Linked DNA regions of Drosophila melanogaster. The protein of the gene in region 2 interacts with the protein of the main gene of each other region in a pairwise test. Each region holds a gene or a part of one and is shown on either strand. Other genes may lie near its edges.

Region 1 (4,137 bases), on a different chromosome or scaffold from region 2:
TCGATTTTGTTCTTCATCCGCAACGATTTTCCAAGGAAGTACCCTAAATATTGCAACTCAAGCACATCCAGAACAAAAAACAAAAAACAAAGAAAAACCTAATAAAACACAAGATCACGCAATCTTTATAAACTGCAAAATTATTGAAATAATAAAAATCGTTAAATCACCTTTCAGCGTGAATCATATCATTGAGCTTTGCTTCACAAGAAGACGGGAAGACATTCTAAACCAAAAATAAAAACTAAAAACTAAAAACCTAAACTAAAACAAAACAAAATGCAAACACAACGTACATACATATATTTCAAATTATTTAACGCAATTGAAATATAATAACGAGAAGTATTTATAATAACAACGTTTCCAAACAAGTTACTGAAACTTAAAAAATTTACGAGAACTAAGATTAAGAAATCTACAGAAAGAACACACACCAAAAAAAAGAAGCTTTTGTCTGCGCTGGCTGAGTCGAATATTCTATAACCATAAATATAATACCTAAATATTATATATATCTATATAATTTCCTTTCGTTTTTATATCACAGCAACACGGATAGCAACAAAATGGGAAACTTATTTATTATGCAAGAGAAACATAACAGAAAAAGAAAACACTGCAAAGATAATAGTATAAAATCCATAAGCAGATCAAAGATGCGAAAAACAAGAAAAGAAAAGAAAATAAAGTGAACTTGTTAATTTTTAGCATTTAAGTCTGTAAAGCTCCGCTTGTAGATGAAAAATCAATAAATAAACTAAATAAAATGGTAAATTCAATAAATGGAGACAAAAAAGCTGTAAGCTTTCACAACAAAAAACCAAACGATACTTTTTGGTAGAAGACGGGGGATTTTTTTTCAAGATTACTCTTTATGTAATATTCAAGATCTCGATGAATTATCTTAGCTTTATTTGAGATATTCCCAAATCTATTTCTTGGATGGTTCTATTACTATTCTTCTATTCTATGAACTATCATAGATATAGATAGGCACACTCTTAAGGTATCATCATAGTGTTATTATAGATATTCCCGAATCTGTTACTCGAATTCTAGTTGATTTAAAGATAATGCGTCTATAATAATAATAATAGTATTGCTTACTAGCATTAAGTTTTTTTAAAGAACTTACAGCATCTACTGAATCCGAAACAAAATCATCATATAAAAATTTACACATAAAACTTAAGTTTATTAACTTGAAATAAGGTCAAATCGGAATCCTTCTTAGGCAAGCGCACTGGGAAAGACGGCATTCTTGGCAATGGGCTGATTGGACCTGCGCACGATCCTGATGTAACCCTCCTCGCCCCACGTGTCGCCGAAGGAGTTCAGGCAGCGCCAGTAGTCCAGATTGGAGTCCACGTCGTGATCGTAGCCCACGACCACCAGGAACTGTGAGCTCTTTGGATTGGTCAGGGCACGCGTCTCCTGGACATAGACGCCACTGGAGTACTGCATGAATCCAAAGGTAGCCGGATTGTACTCGACTATGACGGGGAATCCATTCGATACGTAACGCATTACGGCGGCATCATCGTTGTCGGCCACCGTGGAATAGCCGGCCAACTTCACGCCCACTGACACAGAGGATGGGGGCTGGCACATACCCGGCGTTTTCAGGCTATTGTTATTCGGATAGTCCACCTCCGGATAGAGATACGCATCTGTCAGCTGGGTGAGATAGTTGAGGGCAGCCAGGGGCGTCTGGGTGCTGCATCCGGTGCCCATGCCCGCACAGTCCAGCAGCTGCTGGGCGGACAAGGACGAGGGCAGAGGATTGGCTGTCTGCACGGCATTCATGATCTCCACGGCCTTGGCGGTGGCATAGGCCCAACTACTGCTGCAGTTCACGCCCTGATCCTCCACCGCCACGGTGAGTCCGAAATCCGTGATAATGTCAAAGCTGGCAGATGCCGCTTGACTGGCCGGTGGATCACTGGCCGCCGAGGTCACCGTATTCACGGCTTTGGGCAGCAGGGCTGCGAACTGGATGAGCCGGATGTCCGAGAACTGATTCACTGCCTCGCGGTAGGTGGTGCGATTCCTATCGGCCTGGGCATTGTGCTGCGCCACCTGGTTGCGGTTGTAGATGAAGTAGTAGTTGGCGAAGTTGCGAGCCGAAGTTGAGGCATAGGTCTTGTTGAAATTGTCCTGTAAATGGAAAGATTTGAATTCCATTACTCAATACAATCCTTTTCAATGCCATAAGATACAAGATATAATTTCTAATTAAATCCCATCCAGACTTTGTTTTCTTGATGACTCACATACCTCGTAAGTTTGAAAGTCCACTAGATCCTGGCCATGATTAAAGGCCCATCCACTGTCGATGGTTAGTAGAAGGCAGCAAAGTAGCAACTTGAACATGACGAAAACCCAAATCCGCACCAACTAATGCCGCCAGAACCATGGAACGATCTTTTATAGGCACCGGCAAACTCTCCTTCTGATTGCAAACGCAAATAGAAGTTTACCAAAGCGACTTACTTTCGCAAGAAAAGTGCAAATACTCGTAGATTTCTACGAGGCCTTGAATTCGCACTTGGCCAGCAGCACTCAAACGTACTATCCGTAGTATTCATATTCCGGGTTGGGTCTCCTCGATAAGCCGACGTTGGTAGGAAAAGTCGGGGTGCGCTTTGTTTGCCCAATAAACTTGTCAAATGCCCCGTTTCGTATCGTTGCGATTCGGCGGTGGGTTCTCGTATCTCTGTTAATTCGAAATCCCCACTGGCCCAGTTCAGAAAAAAACACCCAAGCCCATATGCCCATGGAGCATCGTAAACGCCCCTCTAATGCCAACTTATCGTTTAGTCTTCAGGTTTTGTCTTCAGCGCAGGCATGATTAATCACAGTCATACTTTGTGGCGCCCATAAAAGTTGCAACAGCGTTGATAGATAGATACGTAGATGGAAAGATACATAGACAGATAGATAGATAGGCCCGTTGGAAGACTTGGCCAAATTGCTGTAAACCAAGTGCTAAGTGAGTTGTTTGGTAATTTCCATTGCGGTAGTCTAGCATATACTACAGGTAGTATATATTCGAAGTAGTAATGAGGGATCATCTTGAAATTTTGCAAATATGTAGGTAAGTCCATAAGGGATTTCAGCAGTCAATGAACTTTTTAGTAGACGCAACAACAAATTCAGATTCCACGAATCTGTTAATTGAAATGCAAATAAATTGGCCACTAATCAATCTCTTCATGGTTCAATTTCAATTTATAGTTATTGAAAGTCGAGACCATTATTCATCCGTCTGCATCTTTATCATTCTGTAATTGTATTATTTACATAAAAATCAAAGTGTTATTTATTTACAAGGGATATAATAGTACAAACTACTTAGAGACGCTTTAAAAACTTTCCTAAAACTTTGCTTGCTGCATTGAAATTTGTAATCCTATAGGCGCTACAACTGTGACTTCGATCTCATCAATTATTAACTATTTAAAAACATGTTTGACTATTTTCTCTTTTGTTTCAAATGAGTTAATATGCGTTGTTATAGCCACCAACACATTAGGCAATCGACAATTACTAAGCATGCATATAATGGAGACAGCTATAGACCCATAAACCAGATAGCCCGTCGAAATGAAGATGAATATGCTCTTGTCGGTATTCCAAAAGTTTCAAATTGGTGGCCCATCCAGTTTTGGCCATATGTCCCACGGTCCAGCTCCAGACTCTATAAAACCAAGGTGTGCGGGTCGAGCGCCGCTTATAATCTCGCCGGTCTTCGAGTCTTCAGCATCTTCGAATAGTTTTGTGATTTGTGAACGCGGAAGGTGTTTTGAACATATCATTCCCAGATATCCATAAAAGGTGATTAAGTCGATCTTTTCAACATATTGTGTCGTGTGTGTTGTTATTTTTCGATTCATAATGGTCCGTCGAAGACAAGAGAACTGCAATTGCTTACATTCGACTCGAAATTTGATTTTAAACAGGGGAATCCATCGCCTTTCACCGGGCACAGCATGTGATCAGTATTTTATGGCAACGAAAGTGAAATCTTAGCCTGCGGTTGCCTAATCTAGATTTGATTTTGATTTATTTGGGCCCTCGATGGAGCCAATTTGGGAGCTGAGGAAATAAAAGGAGAGACGAAGCCGCGAAATC
Region 2 (5,308 bases):
CTTGTCCAATTACAGTGCCCTCTATTTAAGCCCTCCATAATAAGGATCTCAGCCTTGTTAATTTAACCCGTTTTCCCAGAACTTCAACGGCTGCATTAGAGGGCAACACCCAGAAATTGCAGCACGTGCAAGCTGAATTGAGTTACTGACGTATCATCACCGTCGCTATCGCGATGATCCCCATTATCTTACTCCAGATCGGGAAAAAATGGAAGAAAAACAAACCCATGTAACCTGGTATTACTCACACGAGTTACAAAACAAACGGAGATGAAAAACATTTACAATTAATGAAATCGTTATGCGAAACATTGACATTTCACGTTCATAAATCAAGCGAAAATTACAGGCGGCGCGGAGAAAAGTGAGAAAAAAGAGAAGGAGCGGCGGGAAATGGGAAAACAAGTAGAAAGGGAGAAAATAATGAAACGGAGTACAACATAATTAAGGCGTAACGGGGATACATGTACACTTAAGCAGGTGAAAGGCGTGTGAGTGTGCCGAAAATTATTATTATATTTAACCGGCCGAAAAAAAACATGGATACCAACATGGCCTGGAAATTCAAATGGTAATCATGAGAGCAGCGGAATGGTAGAAAAAAGTGGTTAAACCGTAATAAATGACAATGTTTTTGAGATGCGCTTTGCGGTGGCTCTTCGCTTCTATCTGCCAGTTTTTTTTTTTTACCATTCCTCTCGGTTCTTTGCTTGGTTGCCCCAAAACCTCAATTAAAAACGCATTAACATTTCAATGGTTGCACTTTTCGTACGTTACACATACGCCGCATGGGCCCGCCGCATGAGTAACTGGCGCCGTCTGTTGGCCATTAATGGTAATTTCGAGTGAAGAGAAAAAGTATAAATAGAGCAAATAAATGCTAAACACACACTCACACACTTGGCTGGCCATTTAGGTACGCTGCTTGACCTAACGATGTGTGTAATGTTGTTTAAACAATTTAATTAAAATGTAATTTGTTTGGAAATAGTTATCAAAATGGGTTCGGTTCCCTCCACATTCCCCCCTTCCTGTTCGCTCCCATTCTCCGTCCCGCTCCCTCTGATGATGATGAGCCCGATACACGTCTAATTAACTTGTAATAAATGTTTGCCATTTGCTTATTTAACTTTAATTATATGGAGCTGCGCGGCAACAACAGCGATAACTGAATAATTGCTTGATTGGGGTCCTCTCTACTATAATGGTGCTGGGCTTCGAATATGACTTAAGGTGTGGTTTCTTTTTCTCTGTCGCTCGCAACACTCAGCGGCCATTTGAAACGGCTATAATGAATGCGGAAAACTCGTTATAGCGAAAAATAACCAACAAAAGGGGTGGTTGCTATCTCCAGAAGAAGAAACCGACCGTAAACTATCATAATATTCTAATGTTCAAATATGAAAAATATATATGTAACAACTATCTTTCTAATAATCCGTAAAAGAGAGATGTACTCTTATTATCAGAATAGGGTAAATATTAAATTAAATGATATGTATTATTGTTATATAAACTGTTATTAATTTTGCAGTAAATTTATTACAAATAATTGTTAGCTTAGATGATTATGCATAAAAATTATATTTTTCAATTTATAGAAATAATTTTTAGCGGTTTTATATACATATGAAAGTACCGCTTGCTAAACCGGTTAGCTTCTCTGAACTCTGAACTTATTGAAAATATTGTAATAAACAATAGATATATTTAAAACAGTGTGATTACTTACTGCCTGGGAATCGTGGAAAAATGCGTCCGTGTCGGCTGAGCAACCATGGATACAACGGATAGCTATCCCGGATCAGATGCGGCGCACTCCCGAACGGATGGTGTCCGTGGGGCGGAGGATGCCCGGGATGCGGTCCGCCGGGAAAGATTCCAAGTGGAATTTGGCCGGGCGGCAGATGCGGATGTGGACCATGTGGCGGTCCAGTTGGCACGGGCGGAAGTTGCTGTTGTTGCTGCTGCTGTTGCTGCTGGTGATGATGAGCCAGTGCAGCAGCCATTTGGAACTGGGCGGCAAGGAACGGCGGTGGCTGCGACGGCGGGTGGGGCGGACCCGCCATGCGCACCGCCATGGCGTTCGGTGAGGTGCGGTTCCCAATTAAAGCTAGATTTGGCGCCGGCAGAGGCAACGGACGGATGAGGGTTGGAGGATTTCCCGTTCCCGACGATGGATCCCCGGACTTTGCAGTATTCCCGGCCGCTGCCGGATTGCCTCCTGCATTGGGGGGCGATGGCGACCGGCTAACCGGTGATCTCTGAGGACTGCGCGATCGATCCAGCGAATCCCTTCTGCGGCAGTAGATATAGCCCCTGGGCGTCCGGCGCCCACTGTTGTTCGTGTTCGTTGGCGAAGCGGGACTTTCGCTGCGCGGCGGCGGCGAAGATATCACACTGACCCTTAGTGGAGCCGATCTCGTCGAGGATTCGCCCACAATCGAGTCGATGCTGAAGGCCAGCTTGGGCTTGCTGCTCGCGGAGGCGGAAACGGTACTGCTGGCGGAAACGGAAGTCGAGGATGCGGCCACCGAGGAGCTGCTGCTCACAAAAGGACTCGTCGGCGCCATGGGCAGCATGTTGAACGTTTGCCGGCCGCAGGTGACCATTTGGTAGGGGTTTCGTTGATTGGAAAAACAAATGAATCACTTTCCCTCCTCTTAAACTTCCCGATTCGAAGTCTCTGCAAGTCGAAGTAGATTATAAGAACACTTGTAGGCCTTAAATTCCATTTTTTCCATTCCATATTTGACTTTTTTGAAAAAAAAAATTTTGTATTTTCGAACGGGATAAATCAGTAAATAAAAGAATAATGCTCAACTAAAAGTTTTAGGAATAAAATAAAACGGTAAAAATCCTACTAAAATCAAAGGGAATGGAAATTGAAATGGAATTGAACTGAATAGAAACGGAAACGGAAAAAGGGTTGTACTGATCGAAGCTCCCAATAAATGGGTTGGTGCTATGGAAACATGATCGCGTACATCGGTTAATGGTTACTAGATATCAGATAAGCACACACGCACTGTTTTTCCGATCAGATAGCTATAGCTATATAGCTACGTAGCGTTGTATCTGCGATGCTCCAGCGGTTGGCATCCGTCGGCGTGACATTGATAAACTGTAACTGTAACTGGAGCGGCGGCAACGCGGCGATTGGAGCGTGACCGTACCGCTTCGCTGGACGATTGACGGCGGCGATTGATGGTTGGCGATTGACTATTGGCGATTGACGGTGGCGGTGGCGGTATCAGTTAACGGTTAACGGTTATGCCGGCTACCCGGTAACGAAACGATTGCGGTGGCCGCGCTGCGATGATGATGAGCACTGTCAACGCCATTAGCATTATGGAGCGTCTAAAGGCGTCTAATTGTTGGCTCCACTTCGCCGCTCGCAACCTCTGTCTCTCTCTCGCTTTCTCTCTTTCTGTCCTGATTTTTGGCGGGGGCGTCGGCGAATCGCTGCGTGGCTCTCACGCTGAGCGTTTTAGCTCGAGTGTCGCGTTGGAAAAAGCCGCAAAAAGTTTGTGGGGCCAGTTCGAGTGTGCTTCTTCTTCCTTTGCTTGTACTTCCAGCGCAGCAATACTGCTGGCGTCTCGCTCGCACACGTGGCTCGGTGCGCGTGCGCCAAAGCAGCGCAACAATAGTTCAGTGGATATTCCGAAAACCTGCTTGGCTCCAAGTGGAGCCACCTCCTCTCTCGCTCGCTCTCCCGCTCTCTGGGCTTGTTGGTGTGTGGGTGTGTGAGGGGCCCCAATCTCTCTCTTTTTCTCTCTCTCTCTGTCGCTCTCTTGGCCATTTTTCGCACCAGTTTATGACAGCGAAACAAACAATTTGCGCTAAACAAAACAGCATCATTAAAGCGTTTGTGGTTTTAGTGCCAAGCGGGTTGGCCAGTTTGTTGGAGCGTAGGAGGGGGAACGGGGGTGGTGCACCCGAACAGTGGATAGGAAGTAGGTCTTCGATGATTAAAAATAAATATAATAAATATAACATTTAAAATTGAAAAGCGAACTGTGCCCTCTTTTAATTATGCAAATACTAACAATAAAAAAAAATTGAAACTTTATTTAATTGAATTGTATTTATTCATTGAAATATTTAAGGCTTAAACGTTTATCTTTCATCAGTAACCGTTTTTAAATTGTTTTCATGTATTAAATTATTTACTATCTACTGGAAAATCGATATTAAAAAGTGTTCAAATTTGTACATAACTCAAAAGTAGAAAATACGCATTTTTCAAAGGATATCGAGCCGATACCACTGTGCAGTGGAATCAACGTCATCGCTTATATAGCTTAGACGCCCCGTCGTCAGTGCTGGCTATAAACCACTTTCCCTCCCCCCGCCGCTTGGCCATTCTACCATTCTGAATTGGCATCTGCATCATGTTGGCCAAAAGCATTTGGACACGAAAATGGGCGGTAACTTGGTTTCTACACCTTCGGCGAGCTGCAACTGCGCGAATCTCACAGATACAGATACAGCGTGCTGGGAAGGGAACGTATCTGCATCTGTATCTGTGCGTGGTCATCCGAGTATCTGTATACCCATCCCCATCCCCATTCCCATCCCCATCCCTATCCGCATCCTCATCCGCTGGCTGTGAGTTGTGAAAATAAACACCTCGTTAAAGATGCAGGAGGAGGCATAAAACATGCAGCGCCAACTTCGCAGCCTTCTCATAGGTAAATACATGCGATTCTCCTCCTTTTGGCCATGAATGGATATGGATGTTGGCCAGAAAGGAGGCGAGAGTTGGCAAATAAATTGACGTGCGCTTGGCTGGATTTGTATGCATCTAGATAAGGCCGTTGCTTGTCGGTGGGGCAGCAGCTTTGCTGCCGCAGATGCACTCATGTATACACGTATACATATATCTATATCTGTGAGTGTGGCACCTCTGGGTGCGGTAATTGTAATTGGTTTTTACTCTTTCCCATCTCCTTTCCAGCTCCTCTGCCTCACGATTCGGGATAAATCATTTAATTAGTCAGACAATGAGCTGGGACGAGAACTTTATGGGATGCTCCATCACCGCAAAAGGTTATCGATCGGCAATCAATGATTTTGTGGGCGTATTTTTTGGCATTTACCGCACTTGATATATGACCAGAAGGAGGGCCCACAAAAAGATAAAATGCAGCAAATGCCTGCATTATCAGTTCGCGAAACGCGATGCAAGTTCTAGGGCCTTTTTCTCGGTAGATGTAAAATTATATATTTGAGATACATTTGTTTAATTCTTGTGTAACTCAGGTTTTAGTTCGAACAAATACGATAAGCATATCTGTTAAATGAA
Region 3 (8,211 bases), on a different chromosome or scaffold from region 2:
CAGGCGAAGCACAGATACTTATTTGTGTATTCACTGCATATCTCAGCAAGTCCGCCCGATATAACCTTCACACGCCCTTGGGCTTACACAAGCAACGTTCTTCATTCGATGCACAAGTTTTATTTTTCAAATAGCTGGCATTTAAATACAGTAACAGGGCGATACTTTATTCAACAACAATAAATATGTAGCTTTGCGTAATTATGGCTATTTTGTGCATTTGAAAAAAAAGCATCCTCAATTGCGCCCCTTGCGGATTATGCAACAGTGATTCCCGACCAGCTGCTGGGCGCCGGGTTTGTACGATAGTTTTGGCTAGTTTAGTCCTTGCTCTGCATATACTTGATCAGGTCGATGACGCGGTTGGAGTAACCGAACTCGTTGTCGTACCACGAGATTAGCTTGACGAACTTATCGTTCAGCGAAATGCCAGCCTTGGCGTCGAACACAGACGAATGGGTGTCGCTGAAGAAGTCGGTGGAGACCACCTCCTCATCGGTGTAGCCCAGGATTCCCTTCAGGGGTCCCTTGGAGGCCTCCTCGACCTTAGCCTTGATTTCGTCATAGGTGGCTCCCTTGCCCAAGCGGACGGTAAGATCCACAACGGAGACATTGGGCGTGGGCACGCGGAAAGCCATGCCGGTCAGCTTGCCGTTCAGGGCGGGGATGACCTTGCCCACAGCCTTGGCGGCTCCGGTGGCGGCCGGGATGATGTTCTGGGCGGCGCCACGTCCATCGCGCCACAGTTTGCCAGAGGGACCGTCGACGGTCTTCTGGGTGGCAGTGGTGGCGTGCACGGTGGTCATCAGACCCTCGACGATCTCGAAGTTGTCATTGATGACCTTGGCCAGGGGAGCCAGGCAGTTGGTGGTGCACGAGGCGTTGGAGACCACCTTCATGTCGGGGCTGTAGGCGTCCAGGTTAACGCCGCACACGAACATGGGCGCATCGGCGGATGGGGCCGAGATGATGACCTTCTTGGCGCCGCCCTTCAAGTGGGTGGACGCCTTGTCAATGGTGGTGAACACTCCGGTGGACTCCACCACATACTCGGCTCCAGCACTGGCCCAGTTGATGTTGGCCGGGTCGCGCTCGCTGAACACGGTGATCTTCTGGCCGTTCACCACCAGGAATCCGCCCTCAGCCGCAACGGTGCCCTTGAAACGACCGTGAGTCGAGTCGAATTTAAACAGGTAAACCATGTAGTTGACATCGATGAAGGGATCGTTGACGGCCACCACGGAGGCGCCCTTATCGATGGCGGCGCGGAGCACCAAGCGGCCGATGCGGCCAAATCCGTTAATTCCGATCTTCGACATGGCTGAGTTCCTGCTGTCTTTTCACTTTTACTCTCGTTCAGTTTCAGTTCGCTATTACGACTGCCGCTTTTTCCTTTTCCCGGAGCTTTTTTCGCAAATTAGGAGAATGGCGCTGCGATGGCGGGGGAGGGTTGATGAGTATTTCGCTAGCTTTCTGCGTAGGTCACACTTAAATAAAGCTAATGTGAAATAAATCGATTAGAATTCCATTTAAAACTTTAATTTTTACAAAGGGTTTGATTATATAAGCGCCTTAAAAAGAGCCTCTAACAACTAATGATATATATGGGTTGTAGGACCCTTTACGTAATTAAGTTTATACAAAAATTAGCATTGTCAAGTATAAAATTCCTTCATCTTGCACTAAAGTTTTTCTTAACATTGTTGCCAAGTTAGTTCTTTAAGTTCTAGAGCTCTTCTTTCAATTTAAAAATATTTATTTTACGTTTTTGCCCTTAGTTTGAATTCAAAAAGCAACAATCGATAGATCGATACTTTTCGATACATGGTCACTCTAGTTTGAATTGAATTGACAACAAATAGCTCTGCGAAAACGAATCTGAGTTTTGGCGAAAATGGCAGCCGCAGGAGAGGCAATCGATGGAGTCTACTCCGTCCGGCTGGTCATCGCGGATTTCTATATGGAGAAGCCGCAGTTCGGAATGGATCCGTGCTATTCGGAGCTGCGCGGCAAAGAAATCAAGCGGGTGAGCCGGTCTATTTCACCACAGTAAAAACTGGTATAACGATCCATTCCACTTCCAGGTGCCAGTGATTCGAGTGTTTGGCGGCAACTCCAGAGGCCAGAAGACCTGCATGCATGTACACGGAGTTTTCCCCTATCTATACATTCCGTATGACAAGAAGGATTTTGAGTCCCTGGAGCGGGGCATCCTGCAGATGGCCATGCACCTGGACAAGGCCATCAACATATCCTTGGGTCAAGGCAGCTCCAACGCCCAGCATGTGTTCAAAATTCAGCTGGTCAAGGGCATGTGAGTTCTTTCTGGACGACTTCTTGGCGTAAATCTCTAACCGACCTCTCTTTACAGACCCTTCTATGGCTACCATCGAGTGGAACACCAGTTCCTCAAGATCTACATGTTCAATCCCCGGTTCGTACGCCGCGCCGCCAACCTTCTCCAAAGCGGCGCCATTCTGAGCAAGAACTTCAGTCCGCACGAGTCGCATGTGCCCTACATTCTGCAGTTTATGATCGACTACAATCTGTACGGTATGAGCTATGTGCATGTCCCGCTGGAGGTTCTCAAGTTCCGGCGCAACCATGACGATGACGGCAAGCTGGATACATCATCTATTTAAGTTCCTAACTAACCCGTAACTAACCCTTTAGTAATCCCCTATGCAAATGTCAAGCAAGCGCAGCTTCTGGACATCACAACCGCTAAGAAAGTGGCCTGCAGTGCTTTAGAGGTGGATGTCAGCTCGAACTTCATACTGAATCGGTTCCAGCTGGTGGCGAAGAGTAAGAGCAACCACACTAACCCCGGCATCGAGGCCATCTGGAATGATGAGAAATTGCGCCGACAGAAACTTGTCGAGAAGCACACCGATGCTGGCGATGAGGAGAAGGCTGAAGCGGTAATCCGGGAATACATCTTGTATTGATAAATCCTACAGCCTTGTCCATCCATCGTAGGTGCCAGTATTGGAGTTACCGCCAACACAGGAGCGGCATCAAATTGAAATCGCCGAAAGCGATATCTTCTACCGCACCGCTCTGGAGAGCAAGCTGATGACACTGGAGCAGTCCACACTGTCCGAGCAAACGTTGTCGGATCAGACAATCCTTCCCCAAGCAACCATGCAGACCACCATGCCCGGCACAAAGGCACAGAAACGCAGGTTTAACTTGCAAAAACTTCTAGCCAACGCCGTTTATCCGGAGGAATGCTCACAGGATCAGCAGCAACTGCTGGTTAATGCTTCCTTCATACAAAACCATGTTACCTGCGGCTACAGCAGCAGTGTCAGTTTGTCAACCTCCAAGGATGAGTCCGATGACTTGGACGAAACTGTAGTGGATGAGGAACTAATACTGAGCCTCACACAGCCTCATGGAGCGATACCCCATGATGCCACCTGTGAGTACACGGTTGCCAAAATTACAACTCGCACTTTGGTATAAACCAGTTGTTTTCTCCTTGCTTCAGTGAGGGAGGAGGATTTGGAACTTTTGGACGCGTTGCAGCTGTTGGAGGAGCAGAATGAAAGTGAATCGCATGTGGACTTAGACAGTTCGTTGGCTCCATTGTCGCAACATAAAAAGTGTGAGTTGTTGTGAAATGGAGTTGTTTTTTAATAAATGTTTTACACTGATCTCTTTTTGTAGTCGAACTTACACCCGAATTGTTGGACAAGGAGACCGCAGCTACTGCTGCTCTTTTCGACGAAGATGTTGACTCCGACGAGGATGCCGACCAAGAAACCCGACATGACTTCTCTACCGTCCTAGACGATGTCGATGAGTTGTTGCTTAAGTTAACACAAAGTCAGCCTGCGGAATCGAAGGAACTGAAAGCATCTAGTAAACTGCCCCAAATTGATGGTGCTGATGATCGCCTACAAAGGACCCCCATTAAATCGATCAGCTCTAAGTCAAAGTCAAGTCCTTCAAAGACTCCAACAACGCCAATAGGTCAGAAAAGTCTTCCCAAATCGCCACGTACTCCGAAAACCAGTGCAGCCAAGAAATATGCGCCGCTGGCTTTGACAATTGGAAGCAGTTCATCAAAGAGTGGGTAGAATTGATAACGATCACACGAATTTTTTTTGCAATCATAACCAATTGCAGAAAGCAACGATGAATTCGCAGGGAGACCATCTAATCCACGCCTCAGTTTGCAGCTAGACCAAGGAACCGGAACGGGAACACTTCGGTAATCAAATTCTTTGTTTTCATCATATGTACCAACATTTCTATGACCAACATTTTTGTTCGTAGGCCAGAAATCTCATTGCGCAAAAAACTAGCCATGTCGGAGATGCGACGGAAAAGTTTCGAGGACAGTTTTGTGCTCTTAAAGAACGAGTATGGTTAACTGATATCCTTTATGGCAAGGCGATTTATATTATTGTTTTCCCGATAGTTGTACTCCAGTTAGGAGTACCAGACGATCAACTAGCAATCTGGACAAAACACACATTATTTGTTCCCTTACGCCGAGGGACAGAAATCCTGGCTTGAGCGACATGTTCGAAACAGAGGACGGCAAGCAATTACCACCAAAGAAAGTAGTAAGAAAGACGCGATGGAGCACTCGGAATCAAGATATAGAAAGTCTACCCAAGGCCGGTTGTGAGATAGAGAGACCCCACAGGTCAGAAGGAAGTGCCTTGGATGAGCTGAAGCCGCGTCGCAGTGCTCGCCATAAGGTTAATTCGGCAAATCCAGATGAGTGTTCCAGCGAAATACAAACAACTGGGCCACGAGTGACGACTACAAGTTTGGATAGACCTCAAAAGAAAGCCAGACTATCCCAAAGTCCCAAAGAAAATACTAAAACAAGCATGAATGGAACTGTTGCATTGGAAAAAGCAACAAAAGATAGTTCATCTAACTCAGAGAGTCCGCATCAGCAGGAAAACTCTGTTTCTGAACAAATCGAATATCTCGAAAGTAAACCAAAAAAGTCTGATGAAACTGCACGAAGCTGTGACGAAAAGTTACAACGTGAGCTAATTCCACAGGAACCAGCTGGTATTTCGCCTGGAGATTCAGCAAACTCCACGGAGGAGATCACATTTAGTCCATGCCATGATGAGGCTATCGAATCCGACACGGAAAGCGATTATATAGTCACCAAACTTCGTAAAACACCCAACTTGAAACGCCTTCGATGGAGCATTCGGTCGGAGTTGCTGAACAAACAATTTACTCCCAGTTCAGGCATAAGACCCCCTGAGACTGAGACCACTCCTCAGCTAAGTCCCAAAAGCAATGAGAGCAACACACCGGAGCTGATGCGAAGTTTCTATGAGCATTCGCTGATTGTGAACAGTCCGTCGGTCTTCAGTGACTTCTTGGATAGCCCCGAGATACATATGGATTCTCCTAGGTCTGCTCCTCCATCTCCCGATAGCAACTCGTTCGTGATTGCCCCCTTGGAGCTGCCTCCATCCTACGATGAAGTGGTTAGCGGTAGCCGTAAAATGGACATACCCGAGTACGAGTTCCAAAAGCCATACTACAGCAATCCCTCCGATGTGAGCAAGGTGACGGAGGTGGGCTTCCTGGTGCTCCACATTCCGGGGAACAAGCTAAATGACTGTGATCCCTTCCAGAGCATACTGGGCAATGATCGTGGCCTGGCCTCCTGGCGTCGTCGGCAACTGATAGCCATTGGTGGCCTGGCAATGTTGCAGCGACATCGGGGAGAACAAAAAGTACGGGAGTATTTCAGCACGCAACAAAGAATAGCAATCGAGCCAGCACAACTAGCACCCACCTGGCAGGAAGCCAAGATCTGGTTGAAAGCCAAGGAACTCCTTCGTCAACGAGAGGAACCAAAAAAGTCCTCTGATGACATAGACAGCCCCATCAAGATCAAGCGGCAGAAGATCACTATGATGCTGCAGGCTGAGGAAGGCGATGGCGGAAGTGGCGATGAAGATGCTGGTGAGGAACTCGATTGCAGTCTAAGTCTAACGCCCTTGTCCCAAGCTAAGGATAAATGCAAGGCAACCCCTACCAGTAGCAAAGCCAGAGAAACAGGAAAGAGTCGCCTTAAGCGCGGAACTAGGCTCAGCTTCATAGGAAGCCAGGACGAGGAACCACCAAGCTCGCAGTCCAGCGAACAGAGCGTCTCCAGTAGTGCGGCCCAGGCGGAGCTAGATCGTAGTTCCTTTCTGCGCCAGTTAGAGGGCAGTAGCCAGGATAGGCAGCACGACCTCAGCTTTGGACTTAGCCACGCTACCTTGGACAACACGTTCGGGTTCAAGGTTAATTTGGAGAATCTGCAGCAGGCCAAAGCCGACATTGATTGCAACCACCTGACAATCATAACGTTAGAGGTGTTTGTGTCCACGCGAGGTGATCTCCAACCAGATCCGATGCACGACGAGATTCGGTGTTTGTTTTATGCTATCGAACACAGTTTGCCGGATGAAAAGCTGCCTAGCAAAGCCTGCGGCTATATAATGGTGAACACTGTCCAGGATTTGCTAAGTGAAGGACCTTTTCATGGTATAGATCGCGATATTGAGGTGCAAGTAGTGACCAGTGAAGCGGAGGCATTTGAGGCGTTGCTGGCTTTGTGTGAACGGTGGGATGCGGACATATACGCAGGGTACGAAATCGAGATGTCCTCTTGGGGCTATGTGATTGATCGGGCCAAGCATCTGTGCTTCAACATCGCTCCTCTGCTGTCCCGAGTGCCCACACAGAAGGTCCGGGACTTTGTGGACGAGGATCGGGAGCAGTTCACCGATTTGGATGTGGAAATGAAGCTCTGCGGCCGCATTCTGCTGGACGTATGGCGCCTGATGCGCTCCGAGATTGCACTGACGTCGTACACCTTCGAAAACGTAATGTACCACATTTTGCATAAGAGATGTCCCTGGCACACTGCCAAATCCCTCACCGAATGGTTCGGCTCACCCTGCACCCGCTGGATAGTAATGGAATATTACTTGGAGCGTGTGCGTGGCACCTTAACTCTCCTGGATCAGCTGGACTTACTGGGACGGACTAGCGAAATGGCCAAGCTCATTGGCATTCAGTTCTACGAGGTGCTGTCGCGCGGCTCACAGTTTCGCGTGGAAAGCATGATGCTGAGGTGAGTGTAACCCTTGAGCGCAGGCAAAATATGTTGCATCCTCCCTGAACTCTCTGTCTTCATAGAATCGCCAAGCCAAAGAACCTGGTGCCACTTTCACCCAGCGTCCAGGCTCGCGCTCATATGAGAGCTCCCGAGTACTTGGCGCTAATAATGGAACCGCAGTCACGATTCTATGCCGATCCCCTAATCGTGCTTGATTTTCAGAGCTTGTACCCCAGCATGATCATCGCCTACAACTACTGCTTCTCCACGTGCTTGGGTAGAGTAGAGCACCTGGGTGGAAGTTCGCCCTTTGAATTTGGCGCGTCGCAGCTCCGAGTTTCGCGGCAGATGCTGCAGAAGTTGCTGGAGCACGATCTGGTTACTGTTTCGCCATGCGGCGTTGTGTTCGTGAAGCGTGAAGTGCGCGAGGGCATCCTGCCGCGCATGCTCACCGAGATCTTGGACACGCGCCAAATGGTCAAACAGTCGATGAAGCTCCATAAGGACAGCTCTGCACTTCAGCGGATCCTTCACTCACGGCAGCTGGGCCTTAAGCTGATGGCCAATGTTACCTATGGCTACACCGCCGCTAACTTCAGTGGCCGAATGCCTTCAGTGGAAGTGGGCGATTCTGTAGTTTCCAAAGGACGGGAGACCCTGGAGCGTGCTATCAAACTAGTGGAGAACAACGAGGAGTGGAAGGTGCGTGTCGTCTATGGCGACACGGACTCCATGTTCGTTCTTGTGCCGGGTCGAAATCGAGCTGAAGCTTTTCGAATCGGCGAGGAGATCGCCAAGGCGGTCACCGAAATGAATCCACAGCCAGTGAAGCTAAAACTGGAGAAGGTCTACCAACCTTGCATGCTGCAGACCAAGAAGCGCTACGTGGGTTACATGTATGAGACAGCCGATCAGGAGCAGCCCGTTTACGAGGCGAAGGGAATAGAAACTGTGCGGCGAGATGGTTGTCCGGCGGTGGCCAAGATGCTGGAAAAGGTGCTGCGCATATTGTTCGAGACGCAAGACGTCAGCAAGATCAAGGCGTACGTGTGCCGGCAGTTCACCAAGCTGCTGTCGGGCAGGGCCAATCTGCAGGACCTGATTTTCGC

Evidence for each region.
Region 1: the proteins of E5 (region 2) and CG6337 interact in a two-hybrid assay, tested with the Drosophila melanogaster proteins (one large-scale study listed by BioGRID).
Region 3: the proteins of E5 (region 2) and PolZ1 interact in a two-hybrid assay, tested with the Drosophila melanogaster proteins (one large-scale study listed by BioGRID).

The regions. Positions count from the first base shown.
Region 1 is NT_033778.4:13,832,687-13,836,823, forward strand, and holds CG6337 (uncharacterized protein), read right to left. Parts: upstream 2,411-4,137; 5' UTR 2,377-2,410; coding exon 2,281-2,376; intron 2,161-2,280; coding exon 1,234-2,160; 3' UTR 889-1,233; downstream 1-888.
Region 2 is NT_033777.3:13,871,568-13,876,875, forward strand, and holds the start of E5 (E5), read right to left. Parts: upstream 3,350-5,308; 5' UTR 3,030-3,349; intron 2,687-3,029; 5' UTR 2,613-2,686; coding exon 1,733-2,612; intron 1-1,732.
Region 3 is NT_033778.4:7,791,802-7,800,012, forward strand, and holds the start of PolZ1 (DNA polymerase zeta subunit 1), read left to right. Parts: upstream 1-1,823; 5' UTR 1,824-1,894; coding exon 1,895-2,026; intron 2,027-2,084; coding exon 2,085-2,314; intron 2,315-2,371; coding exon 2,372-2,616; intron 2,617-2,673; coding exon 2,674-2,921; intron 2,922-2,979; coding exon 2,980-3,424; intron 3,425-3,493; coding exon 3,494-3,610; intron 3,611-3,672; coding exon 3,673-4,077; intron 4,078-4,134; coding exon 4,135-4,219; intron 4,220-4,284; coding exon 4,285-4,371; intron 4,372-4,429; coding exon 4,430-7,117; intron 7,118-7,182; coding exon 7,183-8,211. Other genes in the region: Gapdh1 (glyceraldehyde 3 phosphate dehydrogenase 1), read right to left, coding at 321-1,319. UniProt on the Drosophila melanogaster protein: As the catalytic subunit of the DNA polymerase zeta complex, plays a crucial role in translesion DNA synthesis (TLS) and various DNA repair mechanisms. Lacks an intrinsic 3'-5' exonuclease activity and thus has no proofreading function.